Linked DNA regions of Callithrix jacchus. The protein of the gene in region 2 interacts with the protein of the main gene of each other region in a pairwise test. Links are inferred from orthologs where the notes say so. Each region holds a gene or a part of one and is shown on either strand. Other genes may lie near its edges. The genes, in order: KRT15; PSMA1; HSD17B14; PNMA2; keratin, type I cuticular Ha8; PNMA1; CEP70.

Region 1 (3,951 bases), on a different chromosome or scaffold from region 2:
CATGGGGCCAGGTCCAGAGGGCCGAGCCACACCTCCAAGTGGCATTGCCCACAGGTATCAGGTGTCCCTGGAAAGGTTTTCCTGAGCTGGTGGCAGAGAAAAGGGCTCTCCTGAGTGTTCAACTCCCCCATCTGTGTGAAGTGATGCCTTGGTCTTTGAGATCTCCAGTGTCTTCCAGCCTGCCTGCCAGCCTCTTGTCCTTCCTTCCACAGCACTCAGGTACATAGAGCCTTCTGCAGTGGCTCCTCCCCAGCCAGCACTTGACAGGACAGATGGGGGCTAATCTGGCCCTGCTAAGCAGTGACATGCCTCTCTTGGAGAAGGCAGGGGCTTCCTGGAACTCGCCCCAGCCTTATCAGCGGAGGTTTGCCCCAACGCATCCCAGAATCGAGCAAAAGTTCAGCGACGTGCAGCTGGCAGGTGTCGGGATCATCAATCATCCCCTTGTCAACCCTGAGCCTGCTGGGCTTTTGTGAGCGTGCCAGGGACACAGGCTGGAGGCTGGCAGGAGGGGAGTAGGGGTGGGAGGAGGAGAGTCCCTCTCCCACACCAGGGAAGGGACAAATGCTGGCTCCTCTGGTCACTTCAGCTGGACCCTGGCTTCTGTCCTCTACTTGCCCCCAGAGACGCTGCATTCCCATTCCCAGAGGCCTCCTCACTCACTCACTCACTCACTCACTCACTCACTCACTCACTCACTCACAGGATTTCGAGTTGGATAACACAGCGTAATGATTGGGAAGTGGTAACTCCCAAACTGAGAACACAGAGCTGTCCCCTTGGGGAAAAGCTCAGGGCTCGGGGCAGTGGACAAGTCCAGCTGAGGGCACAGTTGGCCTGAGCTGCTCTCTGTACAGGCAGAGGCCTTGGTAGCCGTTCGCTCCCTGTTGCTCTCTTCTGGCATGGAGAGATGAACCTGTAATCCAAGTGTTAAAACGGTGCCCTGGGGGAAAACACCATTAATTCTGAATCATCTCTTTTGTTGCATTAGAAAAAAAACAGAAGAGAAAAACTTCACAGGAGCCACTCAGGGTGTGCAGGCAGCTGTGTTTGTCAGGAAGGCAGAAGGAGTTGGCTTTGCTTTGGGGGAGGAGACCAGGTCCCACAATACCCTTAGAGGGGTATATAAGGAGCCCCAGCTGGGGGGTGGCAGATGCCCTGCTCTGAGTGCAGCCTGGCCCGGCACCTCCTGCCAGCATCTCTTGGGCTTGTTGAGAACTCACTGGCACTGGCTACCTGGCCATGACCACCACATTTCTGCAAACTTCTTCCTCCATGTTTGGGGGTGGCTCTATCCAAGGGGGTTCCCTCCTGGCGAGGGGAGGGGGCTTTGGTGGGGGGAGTCTCTATGGGAGAGGTGGAAGCCGAAGTATCTCAGCTTCTTCTGCTAGGTTTGTCTCTTCAGGGTCAGGAGGGGCATATGGGGGTGGCATGAGCAGTGGCTTTGGCGGAGGGGCTGGTAGTGGTTTCAGTGGAGGCTTTGGAGGTGGCATTGGTGGGGGTTTTGGTGGTGGCTTTGGTGGTGGCGATGGTGGCCTCCTCTCTGGCAATGAGAAGATCACCATGCAGAACCTCAACGACCGCCTAGCCTCCTACCTGGACAAGGTTCGTGCCCTGGAGGAGGCCAATGCTGACCTGGAGGTGAAGATCCGGGACTGGTACCAGAAGCAGGCCCCGACCAGCCCAGAACGTGACTACAGCCACTACTTCAAGACCATTGAAGAGCTCCGGGACAAGGTGAGTCCTCAGATGTCAAAGAGAGGGGAGCAGGTGGCTGGCGCCCTGCACATGCCTCTAACGTCAGTGTCGCTGCTGACTCGAGAAAATCCTTTCCTGCCCAGGCAACGACTGTCTGGTGTGTAGCCTCAGCAAATTTGGAATGCACCTGCTGTCCAGTGCAGAGGCTGGTGTTGGGGGAGGGAGGGAGGGGTCTTGGGAATCTGGTTAGGACCAACGGGGGCACAGTTGGGGGCAATTGTAAAGAGCAGCTTGCCGGGTGCAGTGGCTCACACCTGTAATCCCAGTGCTTTGGAGGCCAAGGTGACAGGATTGTTTGTGCCCAGGAGTTAGAGTCTCAGTGAGCTGTGGCTGTGCCATTGCACTCTGGCCTAGCTACAGAGTGAGAACCTGTCTCTAATTAAAAAATAATAATAATAATAATTAAAACGAGCAACTCACCCTGCCTACCTCATGTACGCTGCAGGCTTCTGCATAAAGTATTTCTTTATCTCTTTGGCAAGAAAAGGATTGGAGTGCAGCCTCATGAGTCCCAGATGCCTCTTGTGTTTTCCTGTAAAGAGGGCTTTTGTGCTAAAAGTACTGTTGGGCTTCAGAGACCTGGGAACCCATTACCCATTCTGCCACCCACTCACTCACCGTTTTACTCCCTGAGACTGGGTTCCTCATTGGCAAAATGCCTTCTTTAGCTGCCCTCTAGGTTGCCACTGGCTGGAATGTTCTGCAGATCCATGGCTGTGTCAAGGTGTGCAGGAGGCAGTGGCCATGACTTGGTCCACGGGGGGGCTGGTGGAGTGTCTCTGAGAGGGTCATTGTCAGAGCTGACTACACCTCACTCTTCACTCTCTGGGGCTACCAATTCCCATAGGCAGTACTGCCTCCTTGGTCTTTCATGCCCTGGAGACAAGGAGGGCAGCTCCTCAGGTGTCTCAAGGAGGCTGGCATGTGGCAGAACAAGAAATGGACACTCAAGATGAGGCTGGACTCTGCCCACCCCAGAGGCCCTACAGATGTTTGCTGGTGGTGACTGTTAGTGAGGGGCTGGCTTTGGGTGCAGAGCAGAGAGCAGCAGGGGAGAGAGAGGAGTCCTCTAGGCACCAACTCTGTCTCCTGCAGATCATGGCCACCACCATTGACAACTCCCGGGTCATCCTGGAAATCGACAACGCCAGGCTGGCTGCGGACGACTTCAGGCTCAAGTGCGCTCCCTCCTCCCTCAACTCTTCCTGCATTGCCCACTTTCCTTGGTCTTCTCCTGGCTCTGACTCAGGCGGCCCAGACCCCTCCCACTTCCTTTTTTGGCCTCCCTCTCTCCTCTCAGGTATGAGAATGAGCTGGCCCTGCGCCAGGGCGTGGAGGCTGACATCAATGGCCTGCGCCGCGTGCTGGATGAGCTGACCCTGGCCAGAACTGACCTGGAGATGCAGATCGAGGGCCTGAATGAGGAGCTGGCCTACCTGAAGAGGAACCACGAGGAGGTGAGAGGTGGCCCCCATCATCCCTGAACCTGAGAGAGGTGGGGAACCTCTTCCCAAAACGCACTTAAATTGCCCAGAGGGAACGACTTTGGCTCCAGGAAGCCCTCCCAGATTTTCCCAAGATTAAGTTGTGGGAGGCAGAGTGGGGCTGCCGGTGCTTCCTCATAGTTGGCCTGGGGCTTAGTGGTTCAGAAACACCCCCCTTGCCCCCAACCAGGTATCCTCATGGAGAGGAAGGGGCACTGTTCCCTAGTAGCCCAGACCACAGCCAAGCCGGGTGGCTAGTATGAATGGCTATCTTCCTGACTGGCTTTGTGAGCTCACATCAGGGGCCTGCCATCTCGGGGTCCTCCCTTGGTAGGACCTAGAGCAGCAGAGAGCTCCTCGGAGCTGAGGGGTCCATGAGACCAAACCTCTTCGTGTGCAATGGGGAACAGCGGTTGGGGTGTTAGGGGAAGAGCCAGGATTGGCATGTGGGAATGCAGACTCTCAGGTCTCTCTTCTGTTCTCCATCTCTAAATGGGCCCCTTCCACCCTGCAGGAGATGAAGGAGTTTAGCAACCAGCTGGCCGGCCAGGTCAACGTGGAGATGGACGCGGCACCGGGCGTGGACCTGACCCGCGTGCTGGCGGAGATGCGGGAGCAGTACGAGGCCATAGCGGAGAAGAACCGCCAGGATGCTGAGGCCTGGTTCTTCAGCAAGGTGGGCCTGACCCTTGCCCTGCCCTGCCCTGCC
Region 2 (3,500 bases):
CATATCCTACAAACAGAAATAAATACACCACATAATTATTTACTTTGGTTGAGCTAAAAATTATAAAAATTTCTAGTTAGTTAAAAAAATCATTAAAATATAATAATCAATGAACTTACATCATAACCAGCAATAAGCAGCCCAACACCATAAGGTCTCCGGCCATATCGTTGTGTTGGTATCTGGGTCTCTTAGACTAGTTAAGAGCTTGTTTTAACAAGGAATGAACTATTCTTTACTTTCTTTTTTTTTGGTGGGGACGGGGTGGAGTTTCACTTTTGTTGCCCAGGCTGGCACGATCTTTGCTCACTGCAACCTCCACCTCCTGGGTTCAAGCAATTCTCCTGCCTCAGCCTATTGAGTAGCTGGGATTAAAGGCATGTGCCACCATGCCTTTTTGGTATTTTTAGTAGCGAGGGGATTTCTCTATGTTGGTCAGGCTGGTCTCGAGTTCCTGACCTCAGGTGATCTGTCTGCCTCAGCCTCCTAAAGTGCTGGGATTACAGGCTTGAGCCACTGTGCCCGGCCTATACTATCTTTATTTTCAAAGTATACATTATTAACAAAGGTTTCTGGCTTCTTCCTTAATTGTTGCATAATCCACCAGAGAAAGAATAAAATAGGATTCTCTATCTTTGGCCTAATATAAAATGTTTGCCTTTCTACCAAATCTAAGAGTGCCAGCAAAATAATTCTTCCCAGGTAAAACTTGGGATTTCTTGGGACATCTAGAACCATTGAGAAACTTTAAATCCCCTCTAAAAAGATGCTTGGATAATTTCCCTGAAGTTGGGTTTATTTATGTCTAGCAAATATAAATTGCTTATACAGGCTAATGAAAGAGCTACCCAAATTGTTTTAAAGTTTTCACAATCTTACCTATGTCATGTTATTATCATATTCCTATGATAATTAACACAAATATCAAAACGCTTCAAAGTTCATATCCATAAATATTAACATAAAAAGGATACTGCTTCCAATTAGAGATACAAGACGTGACACAGGAAGTGGTCTATCAAATACAAATCTGGAATCCAAACACTCCTGACGCATAAAATTACTGAAAGAAACAAAAAAAGTTTAGTAATCTCAAATTACAAACAACGATTCCAATCTAAATTGTTTGATTTCACTTTGCATTCTTCCAAGCGTTTACATGGATCACAACCATATAATGAAGACAGAAGGTAAGAAAGACATGCCTGCGGGGGCACATTTTTGTGTCAAACTCTGGAGCCACATAAAGTTTTTTGTTGTTGTTGTTTGTTTTTGAGATGGGGTTTCACCATGTTGGCCAGGACGGTCTCGATCTCCTGACCTTGTGATCTACCCACCTCTAACTCCTAAAGGGCTGGGATTACAGGCATAAGCCACCACGCCTGGCAAGGTTTTTAAAAAACACTGAAATATTTTTTAGCTCTAGGAAATATTTGTCTTAAAGCACTTACAGAACAGAGAAGAGAAGGTTGAACAAGAGAAAAAGAGTAATCCCTCTTCTCTTATCCTTACCACTGTCAACAAGTTTGTCTTAATTCTAGGTCTTAAACCAGCATAGAGTATCTACTCTGTCCTTTTTTCTTGAAAGCAGACTAACATTTCCCCAATAGAGCAACTGTAAAAAATAGAAATCACAGCAGAGGGCATCTTTACATGTACCTGCCACTGTTACTTATATTCATAAGAAGCACTCTAGAGGAGATACTGGACACTAGCCGCTGAGTCTCACCATTAAATCTGATGAAATTCAAGCAAGGTTACCATTGGGGAAAAGAGAATTCATGCCTATAAAGATCAACAAGAAATGAATATGCCCCTTTCTTTCAATGTTGCTTTGTCCAGCATATGTGTACATCACATCTGATCATCACATGTTGACTACAGGAACCAAGCTATTTGTTCAGTATTTATATTTAAGTCCATTTCCCAACACTGTCTAAAAGTATACTGCCCAATATGGCAGGCAATAATTGCATGTGGCTGTGGAGCCCTTGAAAAGTAGCTATACTGAATTGAGATGTACTCCAAGTACAAAATAGCATGTCAAGTTTCAAAGACTTAGTACCTAAGAACGTGCAATAGCTCATGAATGAAGTTTTCATGTTGATTATGTGTTGGCATGGCAATACTTTATAAACTGGGTTAAATAAAGTGTTTGATAATATAATACATTTTCCACTTTGAGGAGTAGGTGGAAACCCTTTAGGGTGTCATTATATTGCTAACTTAGAGCAAGGGACTGGTTGAGTAACTTTAAATTCTTAAACAATGGCATCACTATTTACACTGCTTTTGCTGCTGCTGTTGTTTTAGACTAAAGTCTCACTCTATCGCCTAGGCTTAAGTACAGTAGCACTATCATAGCTCACTGCAACCTCAAAGTTATGGACTCACCCAATCCTCTCACCTTAGCCTTTTGAATAGCTAAGAGCAACAGGTACGCGGCCCCACAACCAGCTAAGTTTTAAAATTTTTTGTAGAGATGGAGATTCGCTACATTACCCTGGTCTCAAGTTCCTGGCCCTAAGCTTCTCAAAGAGCTGGGATTACAGGTATGAGCCACTGTGCCAGGCCCACCCTTATAATTTATATTATTTCTTTCCTAATCAAATTCACAAATTTAAGAGATTGGTTTTGGCTAACTACCTGCCACCCACAACACACTCACATAATACCTGAAAAGCACTGTGTTAATGCTTTACAGTAGGCTATTTAAAATAATTAAAAATAGGCTGGGTGCAGTGGCTCACCCCTATAATCTCAGCACTTTGGGAAGCCAAGGTGGGTGGATCACCTGAGGTCAGGAGTTCAAGACTAGCCCAGCCAACATGGTAAAATCATGTCTCAACTAAAAAATACAAAAATTAGCCAGGCGTGGTGGCAGGCGCCTGTAATCCCAGTTACTTGGGAGGCTAGGCAGAAGAATCACTTGAACCTGGGAGGCAGAGGTTGCAGTGAGCCAAGACTGTGCCACTGCACTCCAGTGTGGGCAACAGAGTAAGACTCTGTCACAAAAAAAATAAATAAATAAAAAAGTATTTTAAAATAGCTTTGATAAAGAAAACACTGGAAAAAAATTCAGTGTTTAGGTATTTAGCCCAATCTGATACTAAGTGGTGAAAGCGAGAACTCAATCTGTCTGATTTCAAAGCCCTACCTCTTCATTTACGGATTGCCTTTCAACCATAATCTGTCTCCTCAGACTCTCACAGAAATTTATCTGTTATAAACTAGATTTGAATTTATAGATAAACTTGCCTTTAAGTTCCTTTAGACAAGATCCATTTCTGAGTCACTTATGCATACCCTGCAATATCCAGTATTGAGCATTGCAAAAAAAAAAAAAAAATGTCTACTAAATACTGATGTATTAAAAAAAACAAGTACGGTTCAGCTTGTCCTTAGAAACCAGATAAAAGTATCAAGCTCTTCTTAGACATAATATGGTATCAAACAATATACACTGCATTAACAAATATATTACTGAGTGACTTGTAAAA
Region 3 (4,046 bases), on a different chromosome or scaffold from region 2:
GGAGGGGTCTGGGGGCCGGTGGGAATTTTTTATCTTGGCGAGGAAAGAGTTGGGCAGGGTTTGGGAGTTTTAGGTCTCATTCAAGAGGGAACTGGGTTCTGGGACACTTGAGAGGAGGGGAGGAAGCGGTCGGGGGCGGGGAGAGGGCCGACACCTGAGTCTCAAAGAGGACTGGACTGAGGTATCCAGACTCCTGGGTCTGAAGGAGGAGGGGCCGGAGGCCTGGACTCCCGGGTCTGAGGGAGGAGGGGCCTGGGAATCCGGAGTCCCGGTGCTGAAGTTTGCCATTCTCATGTCCTACTCATCCTCTCCAGGTGGAAATTTGGACTCCCAGGGAGACCCTCTCTCACGTGTGCCGCTCTCTCCGTCGGACCCCACGCGCCAGGAGACCCTTCCCCCCAGATCTCCCCCGGTGGCTAATTCGGCTTCCACCGGGTTCTTTCGCGGAGGCAGTGGGCGTGGAGGAGGCCCCGCCCCCTGGGGGCCCACGTGGGATGCCGGGATCGCCCCTCCGGTCCTGCCCCAAGACGAGGGGGCGTGGCCTTTGCGCGTCACTCTTCTACAGTCCAGCTTTTAACCCTCCCAAATGCGGCAGCCAATTGGAGCGTGAGGACGTGACCGGAGGTACCGCCGCAGAGATGTGGGACCACTCAGGGCATCAGGGGGCGTGGTCTGGTCCCTGTCGCCAGCCCGGGACGGGAATGGTTTCTATGGCCAAAGTTTGGTTTTCTCAACACTGTCTAAATTTGGATTAAAACTTTGAACTTGTAGTCAATAACTTTGTTTCTCTCTGTTGGGGGTTGTGGCGCTGGAGTCTCTGATGGGCAGAGCCGGAGTTGTGGACTCCTGGGTCCTGAGAGAGGAGGGGACAGGGGCCTTGGACTTACAGGTCTCTGAGAGGAAGGGATGGAGAAGCTGATCCCTCAGTCTGAGGGAGGAGGGGCTGGGGGCCTGGACCCCCTGAATCTGAGGGAGGAGGGACTGGGGTCTTAGGGAGGAGGGGAGTGTCTGAGGGAGGAGGGACTGGAGCTCCTGGATTCCTGAGTCTGAGGGAGGAGGGGAGTGTCTGAGGAAGGAGGGCCTGGAGCTCCTGGATTCCTGAGTCTGGGGGAGGAGGCGAGTGTCTGAGGGAGGAGGGACTGGGGACAAACCCAGGTTTCCAGCCTTCCTGGCAACACCCCCCGGGGCCGGACTTCCAGGATCCAGCCCCTGTTGATGGTTTGATGCAACGCTGTCACGGGGCTTTGGAGGTAGACAGAGGCGCAGAGTAGAGAGACGGACAGAGACCGACGGACACGGGATGGCCACGGGAACGCGCTACGCCGGGAAGGTGGTGGTTGTGACCGGGGGCGCGCGCGGCATCGGAGCCGGGATCGTCCGCGCGTTCGGTGAGCGGGGTCTGGCCGCTGGGAGCTGGGGAAGGATGGGGGCTGGGCAATGGCGGCGGAAAATGGAGACCCCAGTAATACAGCTGGGATTCTGACCTTACAAAAGCCCATTTGCAGGCTAAAGTAAGCGCGTGCCGCGGTAGGCTGGGGCTGAGTCTGGCGAGGTCTCGGAGGGCAGTGGCCCCCTTTCTCTGGGTCTGTTAGTGAAGCTGCAATACCAGTGGCTTGGGGAATGGCTCTGGCAGTCGTGGGGCTGGCTCTGGAACCCACGAACGGGGGCTCAGGAGCCTCAGCAGAAACCTGGCCAGGCAGGGAGAGCATGTGTCAAGGGCTCTGCCCTCTGCCCTCTGTCCTGAGGGTGATCATGAGACTGGGGTCACGAGGAGAGGGGAGAGGGAGAGCGACCCCACTCCAGGTGGCCACCAGAGGGCGGCAGAGGCTTGACCCAAGGCTCGGAGGGTCACCTGTTCCCTTCCTATTCTCAGTGGACAGCGGGGCCCAAGTGGTTGTTTGCGACAAGGATGGTGAGTGATGGTCCCTCAGCCCTCACCCCGGCCCTCTTCCCTCAGACCCAGGGGTCCAGGCCCCAGCTGCTCCCTCAGATTCAGGGGGTCCAGGCCTCCAGCCCCTCCTCCCTCAGACCCAGGAGTCCTGGCCCCAGCCCCTCATCCCTCAGATTCAGGGGTCCAGGCCCCAGCCCCTCCTCCCTCAGACCCAGGGGTCCAGACCTCTAGCCCCTCTTCCCTCAGATTCAGGGGTCCAGGCCCCCAGCCCCTCCTCCCTCAGACCCAGGGGTCCAGACCCCTAGCCCCTCCTCCCTCAGATTCAGGGGTCCAGGCCCCCAGCCCCTTCTGCCTCAGACCCAGGGGTCCAGGCTCCCAGCTCTTCTCTCACTGCAGAGTCTGGGGGCCGGGCGCTGGAGCGGGAGCTCCCTGGAGCTGTCTTTATCCTTTGTGACGTGACTCGGGAAGACGACGTGAGGGTGAGCACAGTTCCTGCTCCTGCTCCACGCCTCCACTAATTGCCAGTTCTTTGTTCTCCAGGCATCCGCATATGCCGTTCCCTCTCCTTTTCCTTCCTCTCCTGGCTCCACTGGACCCATCAGAGGTTTCCACCTAGTGTCACTCCACACATAGGTCTTCCGTGATTGGCAAGCAGGTCATGTGTTCCTCATCTCCCACCTCTCCAAGGCTCTTAGCACATCTGACATGTGAATGGAAATGAATAAAAAGTCCCTCAAAGTGGGTCAACTGTAACGGATTTTTCTTTCTCTTTTGTTTTTTTGGAGATGTCACCCAGGCTGGAGTGCAATGGTGTGATATCAATTCACTGCAACTTCCACCTCCCGGGTTCAAGAGATTCTCCTGCCTCAGCCTCCCAAGTAGCTGGGATTGCAGGCGCTTGCCACCATGCCCAGCTTATTTTTATATATTTAGTAGAGACAAGGTTTCACCATATTGGCCAGGCTAGTCTCAAACTCCTGACCTCAGGTAATCTGCTCACCTCTGCCTCCCAAAGGGCCCCCAGCCCCTCCTCCCTCAGACCCAGGATTCCAGGCTCCCAACTCCTCCTGGGTTGGAATTCCAGGTGTGAACCACCGCACCTGGCCTGTAACCGATTTTTCTCCCTTGTTTCTGTTTCTGGGTTCCGATTTCCTCCTTTTCATTTTCTTTCTTTTTTTTTTTTTTTGAGAGGGAGTTTTGCTCTTTGTTGCCCAGGCTGGAGTGTAGGGGTGCCATCTCGGTTCACTGCAACTTGCACCTCCTGGGTTCAAGCCATTCTCCTGTCTCACCCTCCCAAGAAGCTGGGATTACAGGCGCCAGCCACCACAGCTAGCTAATTTTTGTATTTTTAGTAGCAACAGTGTTTCACCATGTTGGCCAGGTTAGTCTCGAACTCCTGACCTCAGGTGATCCACCCACATCAGCCTCCCAAAGTGCTGGGATTACAGGTGTGGGCCACTGTGCCCGGCCCCTATTTCTTCCTTTCAATCAGTATCTCTCTGTTTCCTGCCCCACTTGGGTAACTGTCTCCTACTCTCTATCTGAACCCTTGTCAACCCCCACCCCCTGACCTTGGAATGATGACTGCACTGTGGCTCTGACCAGCTCCCTGTCTCCTTCCTGTCTGCTACTCGCCTGCCATGTCTGCTGATCTCGGCACTCCCTCTTCCTCTAGCTCTTGTCCCCTGAGCTGGGAGTCCAGCTTTCCCCTCCTGCCTTGCATTTGGCAGCCCTGTCTGCCTTATGGCTGGACACCTCATCTACTGCTCATTCAAAGGACATTTCCTGGGTAAGGTGTGGCGCCTGTAATTCCAGCACTTTGGGAGGTTGAGGTGGGCAGATCACCTGAGGTCAGGAGTTCGAGACCAGCCTGGCCAACATGGTGACACCCCCTCTCTACTAAAAAATATAAAAAATTAGCCAGCTGTGGTGATGCCCACCTGTAGTCGCAGCTACTCAGGAGGCTGATGCAGGAGAATCACTTGAACCTGGGAGGCAGAGGTTGCAGTGAACCAAGATCGTGCCACTGCACTCCAGCCTGAGCAATGAGGAAAAAAAAAAAACAAAACCAAAAAACAGAAAACAAGAAAATGAAAAAATCAAAGAAAATTTCCTTCCTCCTCAGACTCTGGTTTCTGAGACCATCCGCCGATTT
Region 4 (3,138 bases), on a different chromosome or scaffold from region 2:
AGCCGCAGGACCTCCCAGGTGAGGTACCTGAAGACCTATCAGGAGGAAGGAGAGAAGGTGTCGGCCTATGTGTTAAGGTTAGAAACCCTGCTCCGGAGAGCGGTGGAGAAACGCGCCATCCCGCGGCGCATCGCGGACCAGGTCCGCCTGGAGCAGGTCCTGGCTGGGGCCACTCTTAACCAGACGCTGTGGTGTCGGCTCAGGGAGATGAAGGATCAGGGCCCACCCCCCAGCTTCCTTGAGCTAATGAAGGTAATACGGGAAGAGGAGGAGGAAGAGGCCTCCTTTCAGAATGAGAATATCGAAGAGCCAGAGGTAGGAGATGGCTATGGCCGCTGGGATCATGAGGGGGAGGACTGAAAACCACCTGAGTGCAGGACCCACAGCCAGTGGGCCCAGGGACATGCGCCTTACTAGGCTAAGACTTTTAAAGAATCTTTTTCTTTAATGTATGGGACTGATATCAAGGCATGAAACCCAATTATTGACCTTCCTTCCTTCCTTTTTTTCTTCCTTCTTTCTTTCCTTCCTTCCTTTTTTCTCTTCCTTCCTTCCTTCCTTCCTTCCTTCCCTCCCTTCCTTCCCTCCCTTCCTTCCCTCCCTTCCTTCCCTCCTTCCCTCCTTCATATTTTTCTTTTTTCTGTCTTTCTTTCTTGGGTCTCACTCTCATTACCCAGGCTGGAGTGCAGACACACAACAATCTTGGCTCCCTGCAGCCTTGACTGCCCAGGCTCAGGCTCAGGTGCTCCTCACACCTTAGCCTCCCAAGTAGCTGGGACTACAGGCATGCACCACCATGCCTAGCTTTTTTTTTTTTTTTTTTTTCTGTATTTTTAGTAGAGACAGGGTTTTACTATGTTGCTCAGGCTGGTCTGGAACACCTAGGCTCAAGCGATATGCCCAGCTCAGCCTCCCAAAGTGCTAGGATTACAGGCCTGAGCCACCATGCCCAGCCCCTGATTTTTCTTTTTTAAAAAAATATAGCTACGAGTTTCTTAGACTCTATGTAGATTATTAATGAACAAGAGATTAGACTCCAAATATTAGATAGTAAATCTGAAGGAATCTGAAACACTTGTACTTCCAATTTTCTTTAAGTAATCCCAAGTAGACTAGAGTTGGCCCATACCATACATAGAAGAAAGAATTGGCAGTCAAAAACAAACAAACAAAAAAAACCTTTTGTAATTATGTTTGAAAAATAAAGCTATTTGACTTTGTCAGCTGTTTTCCTTTCTCAAATCAGCAAATTCTGAGTCCAGAAATTCTCTCTCTGTACGAGGAGTTACAAGACTACAGCTCTAACCTGCAGTCGAGCAGTTATAAACCTACAAAATGGGCCCTGCCCTCAGAGTGGTTCCAGTCTACATGAGAAGATGGTCTAGACAGGTCAGGTGTCAGATAGATGGTCCCAGAACTAGGTGCTGTGTCAGGCCCTGAAGACACAGATGACTCAACCTAAGCTCTGCTTTCAAGAAGTCCCCAGCCTTGGAAAAATACAAAATAATTTTTGTATTTTTAGTAGAAACTGGGTTTCACCGTGTTGGCCAGGCTGGTCTTGAACTCCTGACCTCAAGTGATCCACTCACCTCAGCCTCCCAAAGCGCTGGGATTACAGGCATGAGCCCCTGCACCCAGCCTAAAGTCTTTGACTTTCTAGTGAATAACAGCTAGATTAAAATGGGCTGATAACCAAATTTGGGCACATTAGCATTCACCACCAGGTTTGCTTTTGTTTCCAGATTGGCTCATTTTGTGTAGACCTTGGAGCAAAGCTTCCTTCATGGTATCTGTGTACGTATCCAAACTTCTTTTAACTGTTCATAGATTTAAAAGTAGTGGCACCACGTGGGTGTTTAGATGAGACCTGTGTATGTCATGTATCACGTAAGTGTGTGAGTGCAGTGCAGAGGCGCACCATTCAGTTATACGTGCTAGGCGAAGCTCCAACACAATGGACGTATAGTCTCGTGGTAGATTTGCGCATACTGCGAGTAAATTGCTTAGCTTATCTAGATAGACGTCAGTTTCCGCCTCTGAAAAATTAGAAGATGAGAGTACACAGTTGTTAGGAGGATCAGATGACTCAATGCTTTTTAATCACTTCGCATGACATCTGGAACACAGAAAGCCCTCAGTACATTGACACTAAGATTTCCGTGATGTTCCTATCTGCTCAATGCATGCCTTCTTTATTGTTCCAACAGTTGTGTGCTAACAAGTTAATATGCTCCCAGTTGACTCCCAGGCTACCTTGGTGTTAGAAACCATTTCTGCTCTTACTGTAAATGTGAGCTTGTTGTTTTTATATTTGTGATGAGTCTTCCAGCAGCTGTTGACAATTGTTAGAGGTTTGACTTTTAAATAGTCACTTATTTTTTCTGATTGTGGTTTGGTTTATCTAAAGAATATCCTGACATTGTAAGAAAAGCATTTTTTAAAAGGTATCATTTGTGATCAATTATCTTTCTAAATTGTAGTTTTAATACTGTCTGACCAAAGTGATACAGTTGTTACCGTGACACTCTGATTTCATGTGTTTTTGTATTTATGAAAGTGGTCTCTTGTCATTTCTTGACAGTATACAAAGTAAAATGTTATAAATGTGAAGTTATAAAATAAATATATCCTAATAGAATCCTGAGTTTTTCTGATTCGTAAATCGTGGCCTGTACAAACTACTACTTGAAGAAGGAGCTCCATCACTGAAAATTTTTGAGAGATAAGTTGAAAAATCAAGCTAAAGCCAAATGTCTTGAACTCCCCTAGGCAAGAAAACCTGAAAGCAAAAAAATGATTGAGTAAGACAAGAGAGAGCTCAGTCCCCCATTATTGATTTCTCTTTTAAAATAGATAGAAACAACAGAGGGAGGCCAGGTCTCTCAGAGACTGCCAACTCATTTGCTTAGGAAAATAACTGTACAGATAAATTCCCAGGCTCTATTCCGCTTAGGGTGAATGACCCTTAAGGCAGAATATTGCTTTTCTAGGCTGAAGTCCCTCCCTTTTTTTCCCTGTTTTTTTTTTTTTTTTTTTTTTTTTTGAGATAAGGTGTCACCCAGGCTAGAGTGTAGTCACACGATCATGGCTCACTGCAAATTGCCTACCAAATTTGAGTGATTCTTAGGCCTCAGCCTC
Region 5 (4,198 bases), on a different chromosome or scaffold from region 2:
CTTGTATTTTTAAAAAATTTATTTATTATACTTTAAGTTCATTCTCAGCAAACTGACATAGGAACAGAAAACCAAACACCACATGTTCTCACTCACAAGTGGGTGTTGAACAATGAGAACACATGGACACGGGGGAGGGGAGCATCACCCACTGGGGCCTGGGAGGGTGGAGGGCTAGGGGAGGAATAGCAGGGGGTGGGGGGATTGAGGAGGGATAGCATTAGGAGATGACAGGGTGATGGATGCAGCAAACTGCCACCATGGGGCGTGTATACCTACATAACAAACCTGCACGATCTGCACATATACCCCAGGGCTTCATACTTTATAGTGAGGTTGATCTTAGAAAAACGACTTTACATCTCTGGTCTCAATGGCTTATTTATTTATGTTGTAAAATTAAGAGTACCCACCTCCCAGGTTGGAAGCAGAGATGAAAAGGTGTCATTGCTCAATCCCCTAGCACATAGGGTGAAGGTTCATAACTAACTTTAGAACCAAGGAGGCAAGGCGTGAAGAGGGCCCACTCAACATCCCGATCACGCAACTTCCTCCTACTTTCATGGCCACGTCCTTATTTGAGGTTCAGTAAGATTACTGCTCATTTCTTTTTGTTTGTTTCTGGCTTCTTGAGCTTGCCCTGTTTGGTCAAGATAAATGACAGTTTTCGGAGTCATCCTCATTCTCACGAGCTTCTCAGATGCCTTGTTTGAGACATCATGTCTACACAAGTTACAGTTGTTTCCCAACGGCAGGAACTGTTCCGTGCTTAACCAACTATATGCCAAGCATCAGCACAGTGCCTGGCATTCAGGATGTAACCAGGGGATGTGTGTTGTGAACAGATTTGTCTAAGTCTTGTTGCTCCTCAAAGTGAGTCTGAAGGGCAACCAACTAAAGAAAGAAGAAATGTAGGATGTCTTGATAACCCAATTTAACACCATAACATTCACCAATACCAAGACTCAGTTTCTTCCCTGGATAGGGAAGGCTGGTTGAGTCTTAACCCAAGTGAGCACCACTGTCATCACAGGGGTTAGTCCTGCTACGCCACTGACCAACAGGAAAATTTGTGCCTTTGGAGTGGACAAATCCATGAAGAGGCCAAACCCTGTCAAAGTCTAAGCATCTGATGGCTAAAATAACTTGGTTTCTTTAAAAAATAATAAAAAGCTTCTGACTCCCCCCACCAAAAGCCAACCTGATATCAAAGAGCCAAGAGGCATCTCAGATTCGTCAACATTCCTTTAATGAGCTGAGAAACGTTTCATGGTAAACTCAGCAGCTGAGTAACAGGATGATGGCACCACAACAGATAATCAAGGCAGGAGGTCAAAGCATTGGAGCCAACACCCACCCGGGATGGGGTATAAAAGGGCCGGGAGGAGAAGAGGCTTCAGACTTAGTGACTTGGCCTTTCCAGCTGATCTGAAGCTCCTGTGCAACCTCAGCCCAACACCATGACCTCCTCCTACAGCAGCTCCTCCTGCCTTCTGGGCTGCACCATGGGTCCTGGAGCAAGAAATGCCTCCGTCTCTCCCATCGACATTGGGTGCCAGCCCGGGGCAGAGGCCAAGGCTGCCTCCATGTGCCTCTTGGCCAATGTGGCACATGCCAACCGAGTCCGTGTGGGGTCGACTCCCCTGGGCCGCCCCAGTCTCTGTCTACCCCCCACCTGCCACACTGCTTGTCCCTTGCCAGGGACCTGCCACATTCCCGGCAACATCGGAATCTGTGGGGCCTATGGTGAAAACACCCTGAATGGCCATGAGAAGGAGACCATGCAGTTCCTGAATGACCGCCTGGCCAACTACCTGGAGAAGGTGCGACAGCTGGAGCGGGACAACGCGGAGCTAGAGAGCCAACTCCGTGAGAGGAGCAAGTGCCACGAGTCCACCGTGTGCCCCGACTACCAGTCCTACTTCCGCACCATCGAGGAGCTCCAGCAGAAGGTGAGGTGTGGGAACGCCTGGGCGTGCTGGGTCTGAGAAGCCAGACGGCTTCTCATGGCAGGAGGAATCCATGTCAGGCTCAGGGAGCTTTGGGTTCTTGGCTTCTCTTGGATATGAGCATAGACACCACACGTGGAGTGGGAGCCTAAGGTACGATGCTTTGTGTGTGAACCATCTTCCTGTTTTCCTCAGATCCTGTGCAGCAAGGCTGAGAACGCCAGGCTGATTGTACAAATCGACAATGCCAAGCTGGCTGCCGATGACTTTAGGATCAAGTAAGTCCGGTGCAGGAGGCCAGGATGACTCCTTCCCCATCCTCCATCCCAATGCCCAAATACTTGTTGAGTGAGTGAATCATTGTCCTTTCTCCCTTGCTAGATTCTCCCCAGTAAAAGTTTCATTACAATCAAAATGGATAGAAGATGGAAGGGAAAACCCTTCATTAATCCAACCATGTATGTTTTTCCTCCTTCATTTATTTCCCTAACATGGAGGCAGCCTAAATTCATTAGCCAGGAGCAAAATGAGGTGATTTCAAGGATAAACTGAGCAAGACAGCCATTCATTTTCATATATAAGTCAGAGGAGTCATAGATGAGTCTTCGTCCAGATTTAACTATGCAGTCCTAGGGTACTAGGTATGAGATACTTAGGAAAAAACCAGAGGGGAAGACAGTTGAAAGCAAGGGATAAGGAGCTGTGGATCACAACCGGGCACCTGGCTATTGCTTATCTTTGGTAACTGACGGCCACTGCAATGGAATGAGCATTGGACTGGGTCCCAAGACACACGATCTTAGGCAACTCAGTTGATCTTAGTGAACCGCAGCTGCCACAGAATACAATGGCAAAAATGTATATTGTGCAATGTAGTGCTGTGATTGTTTCATCAGACCACCAGCTCTTTGAGAAGAGGGGCTGTGTCTAATTCACCTTTGAGGCCAGAGAGCTAAACAGAGTGAACAAATGAGGATCCAAGGTGGTGTGGGAGGTGGGAACCCGGGGCAGCCGAGAGGGGCTCTTGGTGGAATTCTTGTTGACCCTGCACCTCCTGTGACTGAAGGCTGGAGAGTGAGCGCTCCCTGCGTCAGCTGGTGGAGGCGGACATGTGTGGTACGCAGAAGCTCCTGGATGATGCGACCCTGGCCAAGGCCGACCTGGAGGCCCAGCAGGAGTCCCTGAAGGAAGAGCAGCTCTCTCTCAAGAGCAACCATGAGCAGGTACAGCCCTGGCCGCTCAGACTCCTGGTGTGGGGGGCGGGCAGTGCTGGGCAGATAGGGGAGCTCCCTGGCCCTGGGGCTCTCAGAGCAGAACCTGGGCTCAGCTGGCATCAGCATGCAGGGCTGAGGTGGGTCTGAGGGTTCAGAGGGCCTCTGTGGAAGGTGCAGACTTGCCTTGGGCACAAGGAAGGCATCCAGGTGGGCTCTCCCGACTGCACTCTGGGCAAGACTTTCCCATTTGCTTGTGTATGGGGCTCCCCTCCTACTGCTTGCCAGGGGTGGGGTCCTGGTGCTGTCTGCTCCATCAAAGGCCCTCTCCTCACACAAACTGTCTGTGCCTTCCTCCCTTCTGCAGGAAGTAAAGACTCTGAGGAGTCAGCTAGGGGACAAGATCCGGATCGAGCTGGACATTGAGCCCACCATTGACCTGAGCAGGGTGCTGGGGGAGATGCGGGCTCAGTACGAGGCCATGGTGGAGACCAACCGCCAGGACGCGGAGCAGTGGTTCCAAGCCCAGGTGAGCAGGGGGTACAGAGCCGGGGGACATCTGGCCTCCATCTGGGCAGGGAGGTGACTGTGCCTCTCTGTGCTCCAGTCTGAAGGCATCAGCCTGCAGGCCATGTCCTGCTCTGAGGAGATTCAGTGCTGCCAGTCGGAGATCCTGGAGCTGAGATGCACGGTGAACGCCCTGGAGGTGGAGCGCCAAGCCCAGCACACCTTGGTACGTGTCCTTCACCCTCACTGCACTGCAAACGCCACGTGCCACGGCCTGATAGCATTTAATTTTGTAGGTCTCACTATCTAGGTTTCTCCCATCTGCAAACTCGTTGATTGTGAATTTCTTTTTTGTCTTTATTGTAAAGATCAGGTCAAATTCAGAAACACAGCTTAACAAAACAATCTCTCTTTTAAAACATATTTAAGAAAAGGCATTAAATGCACCAAAATTTACTGAGTTCTAATTTTTTTGGGGGTATTGCAAATATAGAGATGAATAACGTGAAGCCAATTAAATTTTGGGGGCAG
Region 6 (4,292 bases), on a different chromosome or scaffold from region 2:
CTACCCCTTCTGCCTCGCCCCTCTCCACCCCGGCACCAAGTCTTTTGCTGCTTATGTCTAAAGGGATCGCCTATATTTAACTGCCTCAGTGACCTATCCTCTTTCTTCTCATGTGCCAGATGTTAAGACGAAGGAGGAATACAACACATACTCAAGCCTCAGCTGTTTAGTTGTTTTCACTGGGGCTCGCTTTTCTGGGATGGTATATATTATCAGACTGGCAAGCCTAACTCCATAGGTTTACAGGAAGTAGGCATATTTTTATAAAACAATTGTGTCCTCCCCACATTTTGCTATGTTAATATTTGCCTCTAACAATTTGCAGCTGTTTCACTTTTTCCTCATTTGTCTCTAAGTTGAAGGCCTTGTTGGAAGGGACAGCACAGGAACAGCCTTGACAGTCTGTAATTATTGTACAAATATTTTAATAGCATATAAATAAGTATATTCCTTTTATTTTGAAACAAATGATCAGACACTGCCTTTTTTGTGTTTGCTGCCTGTGGCACCCTTTTTTAAAAAGACTGTTACATATTAAAATAGTGTACATATATATATAAATATTACCTCTTTTGCTGTACAGTTGTGATAGAGACTGAAGATTTTATTTTTTGTGTGCTTTTTATAAGAAAAAAATTAATACACTAAAGAATCTTGCTGATGTGATTGTAATGTACCTATGTAACTTATTTACTTTTGAATGTTCTTCTGTATCTTTAAACCTTTTATTAAATAAGGTTTTAAAAATTCAGAGTTGCATGCTGTGTTCTCTGGGATTTTCACCATCTGGGATTGATGTAAGTGGGTCTTGTCTTGCTTGCACAAAGATTACTCAACATTTTCGAACCATACGGATTCTCTTTTAGCAGCCTATTGTCAATGATGCCAGCCAGGAAAAGGGAAATAACATATTAATGTTTACCTGGCTAAAAGATGACTGAGTAGACATAGACAAACATCTTTTTTACAAAATTTTAGACAAGAAAAAGGCAACTCCGTATCTTACAAAAATATACGTAAATGGCACACGCCGACATTTTGGCTGCGTTGGGATGAAATATGCAGGGTGCAGAGTGTGGTTGGGGGAACAGGGAAGCTACGGTTCTGAGGATATTCTCACGTGCAGGGTGGACTGGCTGAGCAATCTGAGATGAGTCCACCATGAGGGATGCATTTCCAACAATATCATCTTAAGTCCACTCCAGGATTGGGTTATTTTTAAAATACGGTGCTTAGCAGTCTTTGTTCTCTGTTTAAAAAAAAAAAAAGAAGAAGAAAATTACGCCATCAGAGAAACAGGTGCCCGGGGCACCATGGTAACCGCTGGACTCCGCCCCACCCCCACTCCCCCGCCCGCGGTGGGCCGCCAGAGCAGACGAGTCTCGTGCAGGCTGAGAAGCCGTTGCCATGGCGACACCCGAGCGGCTCCGCCGCGGGGGCGTGACGGAGTGGGGCAGACGCCGCTCACGGGCTGGCCCCACCCTTCACTGCTGCAGTAACATCGCCGCAGGTTGCGGGTAGGACACTACGTCTGGGTAGCAGCGCAGTGCAGATCGTTGCGGCCGCCGCTGCTCATCCTCTCTTCTGCTGTCTCCAGCCCAGCTTCGCCAGCTCTCCTGCTCCTCTGTTGCCTTCGTTTCTGGTCCTCGGCGGTCCTCGCCACCCTCCCGGAAGAGTCCCTGCTCCTGCCAAGAAGCCGCTCTCAGCTGGCCCGCAGCCGCCGCGACTTCGGCACAGTCTGCCTGTGCCGGGTCTCCCAAACGACCTCTCCTCGCCCTCGGAAGACCGGGCTGCGACCGCGAACGCCAGATCCTCTCTGGGAGCCGCCGCGAGCGCCCGACGACCACACCTCGGCGGTTCTCGGCCCATCGCGCCTGCCTTCGCCGCCCGCCTTCGCTCCTTGCCCGCTCCACGACGACGCGACGCCTCGGCTGCTGGCAGCGGACCCGGACCCGGACCCGGACCCAGACGCAAGATGGCGACGGCTGCGTGACTGCCTCAGCGTTTCCGAGCTCGTCTCCAAGTGCGTCCACTGACTGACTGTGGGGGCAGGGAAGGGCGAGGTCAGGACTCTGTGTCTTTGTTAATCGTGACTGCGTGAAACTCGCCTCCCTTGGGCCTACTTGGGGGGAGTGTCTGGCGTTGTTCTAAGGCCAGGAGCAAGGTGAGCCACTGTCTGTTGGTAGAATTAGCGTCTTGATAGTTGACAAAATGGCGATGATACTGTTGGAAGACTGGTGCAGGGGAATGGATGTGAACTCCCAGAGAGCTCTGTTGGTCTGGGGCATCCCAGTGAACTGTGATGAGGCTGAAATCGAAGAGACCCTCCAGGCTGCGATGCCCCAGGTGCCCTACCGAGTGCTTGGGAGAATGTTCTGGAGGGAAGAAAATGCGAAAGCAGCCTTATTAGAGCTCACTGGCGCTGTCGATTACGCCACGATCCCCAGGGAGTTGCCGGGCAAAGGAGGAGTCTGGAAAGTGTTCTTTAAGCCCCCGACTTCCGATGCTGAATTTTTAGAAAGATTGCACCTCTTCCTAGCTAGAGAGGGCTGGACCGTGCAGGATGTTGCCCGTGTCCTTGGGTTTCAGAACCCTACTCCGACCCCGGTCCCAGAGATGCCAGCAGAGATGCTAAACTATATTTTGGATAATGTTATTCAACCTCTTGTTGAGTCCATATGGTACAAGAAGCTGACACTTTTCTCGGGGAGGGACATCCCAGGGCCTGGAGAGGAAACCTTTGATCCTTGGCTGGAGCACACTAATGAGGTCCTAGAGGAGTGGCAGGTGCCAGATGCAGAAAAGAGGCGGCGGTTGATGGAGAGTCTTAGAGGCCCCGCCGCTGATGTCATTCGCATCCTCAAGACCAACAACCCCGCGATAACTACTGCCGAATGCCTGCAGGCGCTTGAGCAGGTGTTTGGGAGCGTTGAGAGCTCTAGGGATGCCCAGGTCAAATTTCTGAACACTTACCAGAACCCGGGAGAAAAGTTGTCTGCTTATGTCATTCGTTTGGAGCCTCTGCTACAGAAGGTGGTGGAGAAGGGGGCCATTGATAAAGATAATGTGAACCAGGCTCGTCTAGAGCAGGTCATTGCCGGGGCCAACCAAAGCGGGGCCATCCGAAGGCAGCTGTGGCTTAACGGGGCTGGGGAAGGGCCGGCCCCAAACCTCTTTGAGTTGCTGGTGCAGATCCGTGAGGAGGAAGCCAAGGAAGAGGAGGAGGAGGCTGAGGCCACCCTTCTGCAGTTAGGCCTGGAAGGGCACTTCTGAGTCCCAGGAAAGGCAGCTTTAGTGCAGACCCAGATCACAGCTACTGTCCTTGTCCCTGTGGGGTCTTACAGATGTGTCTGAGTAGTAAAGGCTTAGTCCTGTTACATTTGTTTTTGGAGGGCAGGATTTGTCAGGCCTGAGTATTCATGTAACATTCTAAAATTGTGCACGCAAGCACTGTGAGCTGCTAGCGGATCTTGCTGGCTACAATGCCGTTTACCTGGTTGGACACAGAGCTTAGTGCACGCGGTCATCATGGCCATCATAATCAGTTGTGAAAAACGTGTGAACCTGTGACACTTCTATTCCACGTTGAATGTGAAATTGCATGTTCAGATGTTTACTGCGGGGCCTGGCTCACAGGAAGTGTTCAGTAAAAGTGTGAACTGTTAGATTACTGATATTGTGGATAGTTTTCTGTCTACCATAACTTGTTCCAGATTTTATTAATGGAAGGGAATGTGCATTTATTATGACTCAACCTTACAATGTAAACGTACTATTTCTCATCTTTAAACATGTGGATCAGTTTAATTGAAAAGTATTCTGATACTGCAAAATGGGATGTTAAAAACTGCAGTTACGGAGCTGTGTAACCCATTTTTCACTGCATAAGATACAGATGTAAATTGCATGGAGAGGTTGATGTGCACCTGTTAGAGTAATTCACTTCCCCAATTTCAAATCTTTGTCAGAAAATAGTTCTTGTTCATACTAATTCTGAGTGTTCTAAATTTGAAGTTACATACAGAAATAAAAATGTTTTTCGATTTCTGTTGTCTTCTCCTTTTGCTGGCATGTACAAACATCTTTAGCCTAAGTAAACTCTGTCCATTTTTCTTATGAAGACTGTCATTAACTCAAACCATATGTTTTACTTACCACAGACACTCAGCATGTCTTCACCCACTACCCATCATTCACAGAGCTTTCCCCTCCATTCCCACCAGCATCAGGTGCACACTCACCCACCTCCTACGCTCTACACATTCACTGCCATCTCCCACTCAGTACTCCCA
Region 7 (3,500 bases), on a different chromosome or scaffold from region 2:
GAACATCTTTTTCTTAGCTTTGTAATACTCTTTTATTCTGAAGCAAAAATGTATTAGATTGGGTGTGCTTTTTTCCATAAATTACTTTATAAATGTGCCTTGTAGCTGGAGCATTGATTAATAAAGGGGTCATTATGCTGTTGCTTACTGACTTTTTTTTCCTCCCAAATTCTAGTGGCACTGATTGTAAAACATTCATTTGACACAGAATGTATTGCTGTGAATTACTAAAATAGGTAACTGTCTTCCTACCAAACGAAAGGTTAAAGATACCAATATGTGAAGTGTGAGCCTTAAGTGGAGAGTGTCAAGTGAAGTACTAAAATAAGTTCGAAAAAGGAAGAATTTCTTGTACTTCTTTCTGTTCTCTAGAGCTGTGCTGTCTTGTATGGTAGCCTCTAGCTGTATGTGGTTATTGATCTCTTGAAAGGTGGCTAGTCCTAATTGAGATGCGTTAGAAGTATAAAATATACACTGGATTTAGAAGACTTCATATGGGAAAAATTGAAATATTGATTTTATATTGAAATGATAATATTTTGGATATATTGGGTTAAATAAAATATTACAGTTAATATCACATGTTTCTTTTCACTTTTCATACTATGGCCCTAGACAACTTAAAATTACTGTGGCTCACATTACATTTCTTTTGGATAGCATTGTTCTAAAGGACTAAGCACTGTTCCATACATATATGAATTGAGTATCCCTTATCTGCAGTGCTTGGGGCTAGATTAAGAATTTTTTCAGATTTTGGAGTATATGCCATTTGAGCATCCCTGATCCAAAAATCCAAAATTCAGAATGCTCTAATGAGCATTTCTTTTGAGTGTCATGTTGCTCAGAGTTTCAGATTTTAGAGCATTTCAGATTTTTGGATTAGGGTTCAGTAAGTATTTGTCGACTGACCAGTCTAGAATGCTAAACTTCCAGTAGCCTTGCCCATTGTGCACAGTTTAAAATCACTTAGGGCATCACAGCTAGGACAAGAAAACAGAGTATTGTAAAGTAGAATACATTTAGAGAACCTTTCACATTGAAAACCTGCCTGGAGGTACATGTTATAACATTATGCTAAGTGAGAGAAGCCATTCATAAAAGACTGCTTATTGTATAATTCCATTTATGCAAAATGGCCAGAATAGGCAAATCCATAGACACAGAAAATAGTTTAGAGGTTATCCCCTGGAGCTGTGGGAAAGGAAAAATGAGGAAGGAAGGACTGTGAGTGGGTCTGAGATTTCTTTTTGGGGTAATGGATATGTTCTGAAATTAGATAGTGCTGATGTTTGTACATGTGTGAAAATATTAAAACTGAATTGTATACTTAATGAGGGTGAATTTTATGGTATCTGAACTACATTTCAATAAATCTGTTATTCAAAACTAAAATACAAGGGCAAGTTTATTCTTTATGTATCAACAATTCAAAATAACAAAATAACATGAAACAATAATAAATAATATAAAATTACTTAGAGCACCCAAATGCAGAATAATCAATATGTAATGTTTTCTGTAAAGCCTATGTTTACCTGGAGAAACCTAATTTTAACTGACTTGTTCTAAATTGGTAATAGTGTTATTAAAAAATACCAATGATGGTTACATATATATATATATTTTAACCTGCCTATATAATGTTTTATTAATTTTATAAAATACATAAAACTTATAATTTTATTAATTGTGTTATATTACTATAGAAATTATTTAAATCAATAATACCATATAGTTTCTTTTGTTATAAAGGATTTGTATAAGTCCTTGAAAACACTATCTGCAGAACTGGTACCTTGGCATAATCTGAAGAAGCAGGATGCAAATGAAGGTATCAAAGTTGAAGATTTGTTATTTATAGTAGATACTATGTTGGAAGAAGTTGAAAATAAAGAAAAGGTAATAATACTTACATAAATGGTCACATTCTAATGTACTCTTATCTTAAAAATTGATAATTTGATGTGGATATTAATATTTGTTCTACAAGAGTTCTGTTTTTCTTTTAAAAGTTTTTATTTGGGATTATTTTAAGATATGAACTCTTTCTTTTTTACCTCTCTTTTGGACAGGACAGCAATATGCCAAACTTTCAAACTTTGCAAGCTATTGTCTCTCACTTCCAAAAATTATTTGATGTGCCTTCTTTAAATGGAGTCTATCCTCGAATGAATGAAGTTTATACTAGGCTTGGAGAAATGAACAATGCTGTGAGAAACCTCCAAGAACTCTTAGAATTAGGTGATGACCTAATTTGTCATTTTTGGCCCCCATTTAAGAATTGTTTTTAATAAATTAACAAAAAGTAGATAAAATTTTTCTTAAGTAAAAAAAATTGAGGATAACTGAAGCATAAAATGTTTGATGTATGTAATTTTGGAAATTTTCTGTTGAAATATCCTTTTATTTCTCTTTTGCAGATAGTTCATCTTCATTGTGTGTGTTGGTAAGCACTGTTGGAAAACTCTGTAGGCTGATTAATGAAGATGTGAATGAGCAGGTTATGCAGGTATTAGGACCTGAAGACCTCCAGAGGTACTCATTTCAAAAGTTTACAGAGTATCATCCAGAATGGCCAGGTGTGGTGGCACACACCTGTAGTCCCAGCTACTTGGGATGCTGATGTGGGAGGATCACTTGAGCCCAGGAGTTTAAGTCCAGTCTGGGCAACATAGTGACAGCCTGTCTCTAAACAATAAAAGAAAAAATAAGTATTGTCCAGAATTCATGGAGGGGTGAAATTAAAGACTTTCAAAACTCATTTACCTTCCCTATTTGGAATAGCATCTTTTCTCTGTGTGTGTTTGTGACTGTAGGCACACACCACCATGCCCAGCTAGTGTGTGTGTGTGTGTGTGAGTGTGTGAGTGTGTGTGTGCACGTGTGCAGGTAGAGAGACAGACAAGTTTTCACCATATTGCCCAGACCAGTCTCAAACTCCTGGGCTCAAGCGATCTGCCTGCCTTGGCCTCCCAAAGTGCTGAGATTACAGGTGTGAGCTACTGTGCCCAGCCTTGGAATAGCATCAATTTTTTTTTTTTTGAGACAGAGTTTCGCTCTTGTTGCCCAGGCTGGAGTGCAATGGCGCGATCTCGGCTCACCGCAACCTCTGCCTCCTGGGTTCAGGCAATTCTCCTGCCTCAGCATCCCGAGTAGCTGGGATTACAGGCACGCGCCACCATGCCCAGCTAATTTTTTGTATTTTTAGTAGAGACGGGGTTTCACCATGTTGACCAGGATGGTCTCGATCTCTTGACCTCGTGATCCACCCGCCTCAGCCTCCCAAAGTGCTGGGATTACAGGCTTGAGCCACCACACCCGGCCTGGAATAGCATCTTTTAAACAAGTTGACAACCTAAGATAATCTCACACCCTTTGGGACGAGAAAATGCCAAGTATTTAAAAAATAAAAATAGATTGTAGGGCTTATAAAGGTCAGGAACTCTTCAGCATAATCCTGTTCTCAGGAAATATTATATATGGAGAAGTTCAAACCT

Evidence for each region.
Region 1: the proteins of PSMA1 (region 2) and KRT15 interact in binary tests that used the Homo sapiens proteins (3 or more experiments, as listed by UniProt). The two-hybrid records come from large-scale screens. The link is inferred for Callithrix jacchus from reciprocal best matches to the Homo sapiens genes PSMA1 and KRT15.
Region 3: the proteins of PSMA1 (region 2) and HSD17B14 interact in binary tests that used the Homo sapiens proteins (3 or more experiments, as listed by UniProt). The two-hybrid records come from large-scale screens. The link is inferred for Callithrix jacchus from reciprocal best matches to the Homo sapiens genes PSMA1 and HSD17B14.
Region 4: the proteins of PSMA1 (region 2) and PNMA2 interact in binary tests that used the Homo sapiens proteins (3 or more experiments, as listed by UniProt). The two-hybrid records come from large-scale screens. The link is inferred for Callithrix jacchus from reciprocal best matches to the Homo sapiens genes PSMA1 and PNMA2.
Region 5: the proteins of PSMA1 (region 2) and keratin, type I cuticular Ha8 interact in binary tests that used the Homo sapiens proteins (3 or more experiments, as listed by UniProt). The two-hybrid records come from large-scale screens. The link is inferred for Callithrix jacchus from reciprocal best matches to the Homo sapiens genes PSMA1 and KRT38.
Region 6: the proteins of PSMA1 (region 2) and PNMA1 interact in binary tests that used the Homo sapiens proteins (3 or more experiments, as listed by UniProt). The two-hybrid records come from large-scale screens. The link is inferred for Callithrix jacchus from reciprocal best matches to the Homo sapiens genes PSMA1 and PNMA1.
Region 7: the proteins of PSMA1 (region 2) and CEP70 interact in binary tests that used the Homo sapiens proteins (3 or more experiments, as listed by UniProt). The two-hybrid records come from large-scale screens. The link is inferred for Callithrix jacchus from reciprocal best matches to the Homo sapiens genes PSMA1 and CEP70.

What each region holds. Positions count from the first base shown.
Region 1 is NC_133506.1:91,738,016-91,741,966, forward strand, and holds the start of KRT15 (keratin, type I cytoskeletal 15), read left to right. Parts: upstream 1-1,151; 5' UTR 1,152-1,242; coding exon 1,243-1,737; intron 1,738-2,853; coding exon 2,854-2,936; intron 2,937-3,058; coding exon 3,059-3,215; intron 3,216-3,756; coding exon 3,757-3,918; intron 3,919-3,951.
Region 2 is NC_133511.1:80,384,758-80,388,257, forward strand, and holds part of PSMA1 (proteasome subunit alpha type-1), read right to left. Parts: intron 1,064-3,500; coding exon 975-1,063; intron 191-974; coding exon 120-190; intron 7-119; coding exon 1-6. UniProt on the Homo sapiens protein: Component of the 20S core proteasome complex involved in the proteolytic degradation of most intracellular proteins. This complex plays numerous essential roles within the cell by associating with different regulatory particles.
Region 3 is NC_133523.1:42,680,588-42,684,633, reverse strand, and holds the start of HSD17B14 (L-fucose dehydrogenase), read left to right. Parts: upstream 1-1,246; 5' UTR 1,247-1,300; coding exon 1,301-1,388; intron 1,389-1,873; coding exon 1,874-1,912; intron 1,913-2,287; coding exon 2,288-2,370; intron 2,371-4,016; coding exon 4,017-4,046. Other genes in the region: PLEKHA4 (pleckstrin homology domain-containing family A member 4), read left to right, coding at 315-577. UniProt on the Homo sapiens protein: Catalyzes the NAD(+)-dependent oxidation of L-fucose, yielding L-fucono-1,5-lactone, which rapidly converts spontaneously to L-fucone-1,4-lactone. Can also act on D-arabinose and L-galactose, with lower catalytic efficiency. Does not use NADPH.
Region 4 is NC_133514.1:15,068,845-15,071,982, forward strand, and holds the end of PNMA2 (paraneoplastic antigen Ma2), read left to right. Parts: coding exon 1-360; 3' UTR 361-2,638; downstream 2,639-3,138.
Region 5 is NC_133506.1:91,819,993-91,824,190, forward strand, and holds the start of keratin, type I cuticular Ha8, read left to right. Parts: upstream 1-1,398; 5' UTR 1,399-1,460; coding exon 1,461-1,952; intron 1,953-2,144; coding exon 2,145-2,227; intron 2,228-3,015; coding exon 3,016-3,172; intron 3,173-3,527; coding exon 3,528-3,689; intron 3,690-3,767; coding exon 3,768-3,893; intron 3,894-4,198.
Region 6 is NC_133509.1:108,629,448-108,633,739, reverse strand, and holds PNMA1 (paraneoplastic antigen Ma1), read left to right. Parts: upstream 1-1,492; 5' UTR 1,493-2,211; coding exon 2,212-3,273; 3' UTR 3,274-4,043; downstream 4,044-4,292.
Region 7 is NC_133518.1:45,829,728-45,833,227, forward strand, and holds part of CEP70 (centrosomal protein of 70 kDa), read left to right. Parts: intron 1-1,755; coding exon 1,756-1,902; intron 1,903-2,075; coding exon 2,076-2,244; intron 2,245-2,423; coding exon 2,424-2,538; intron 2,539-3,500.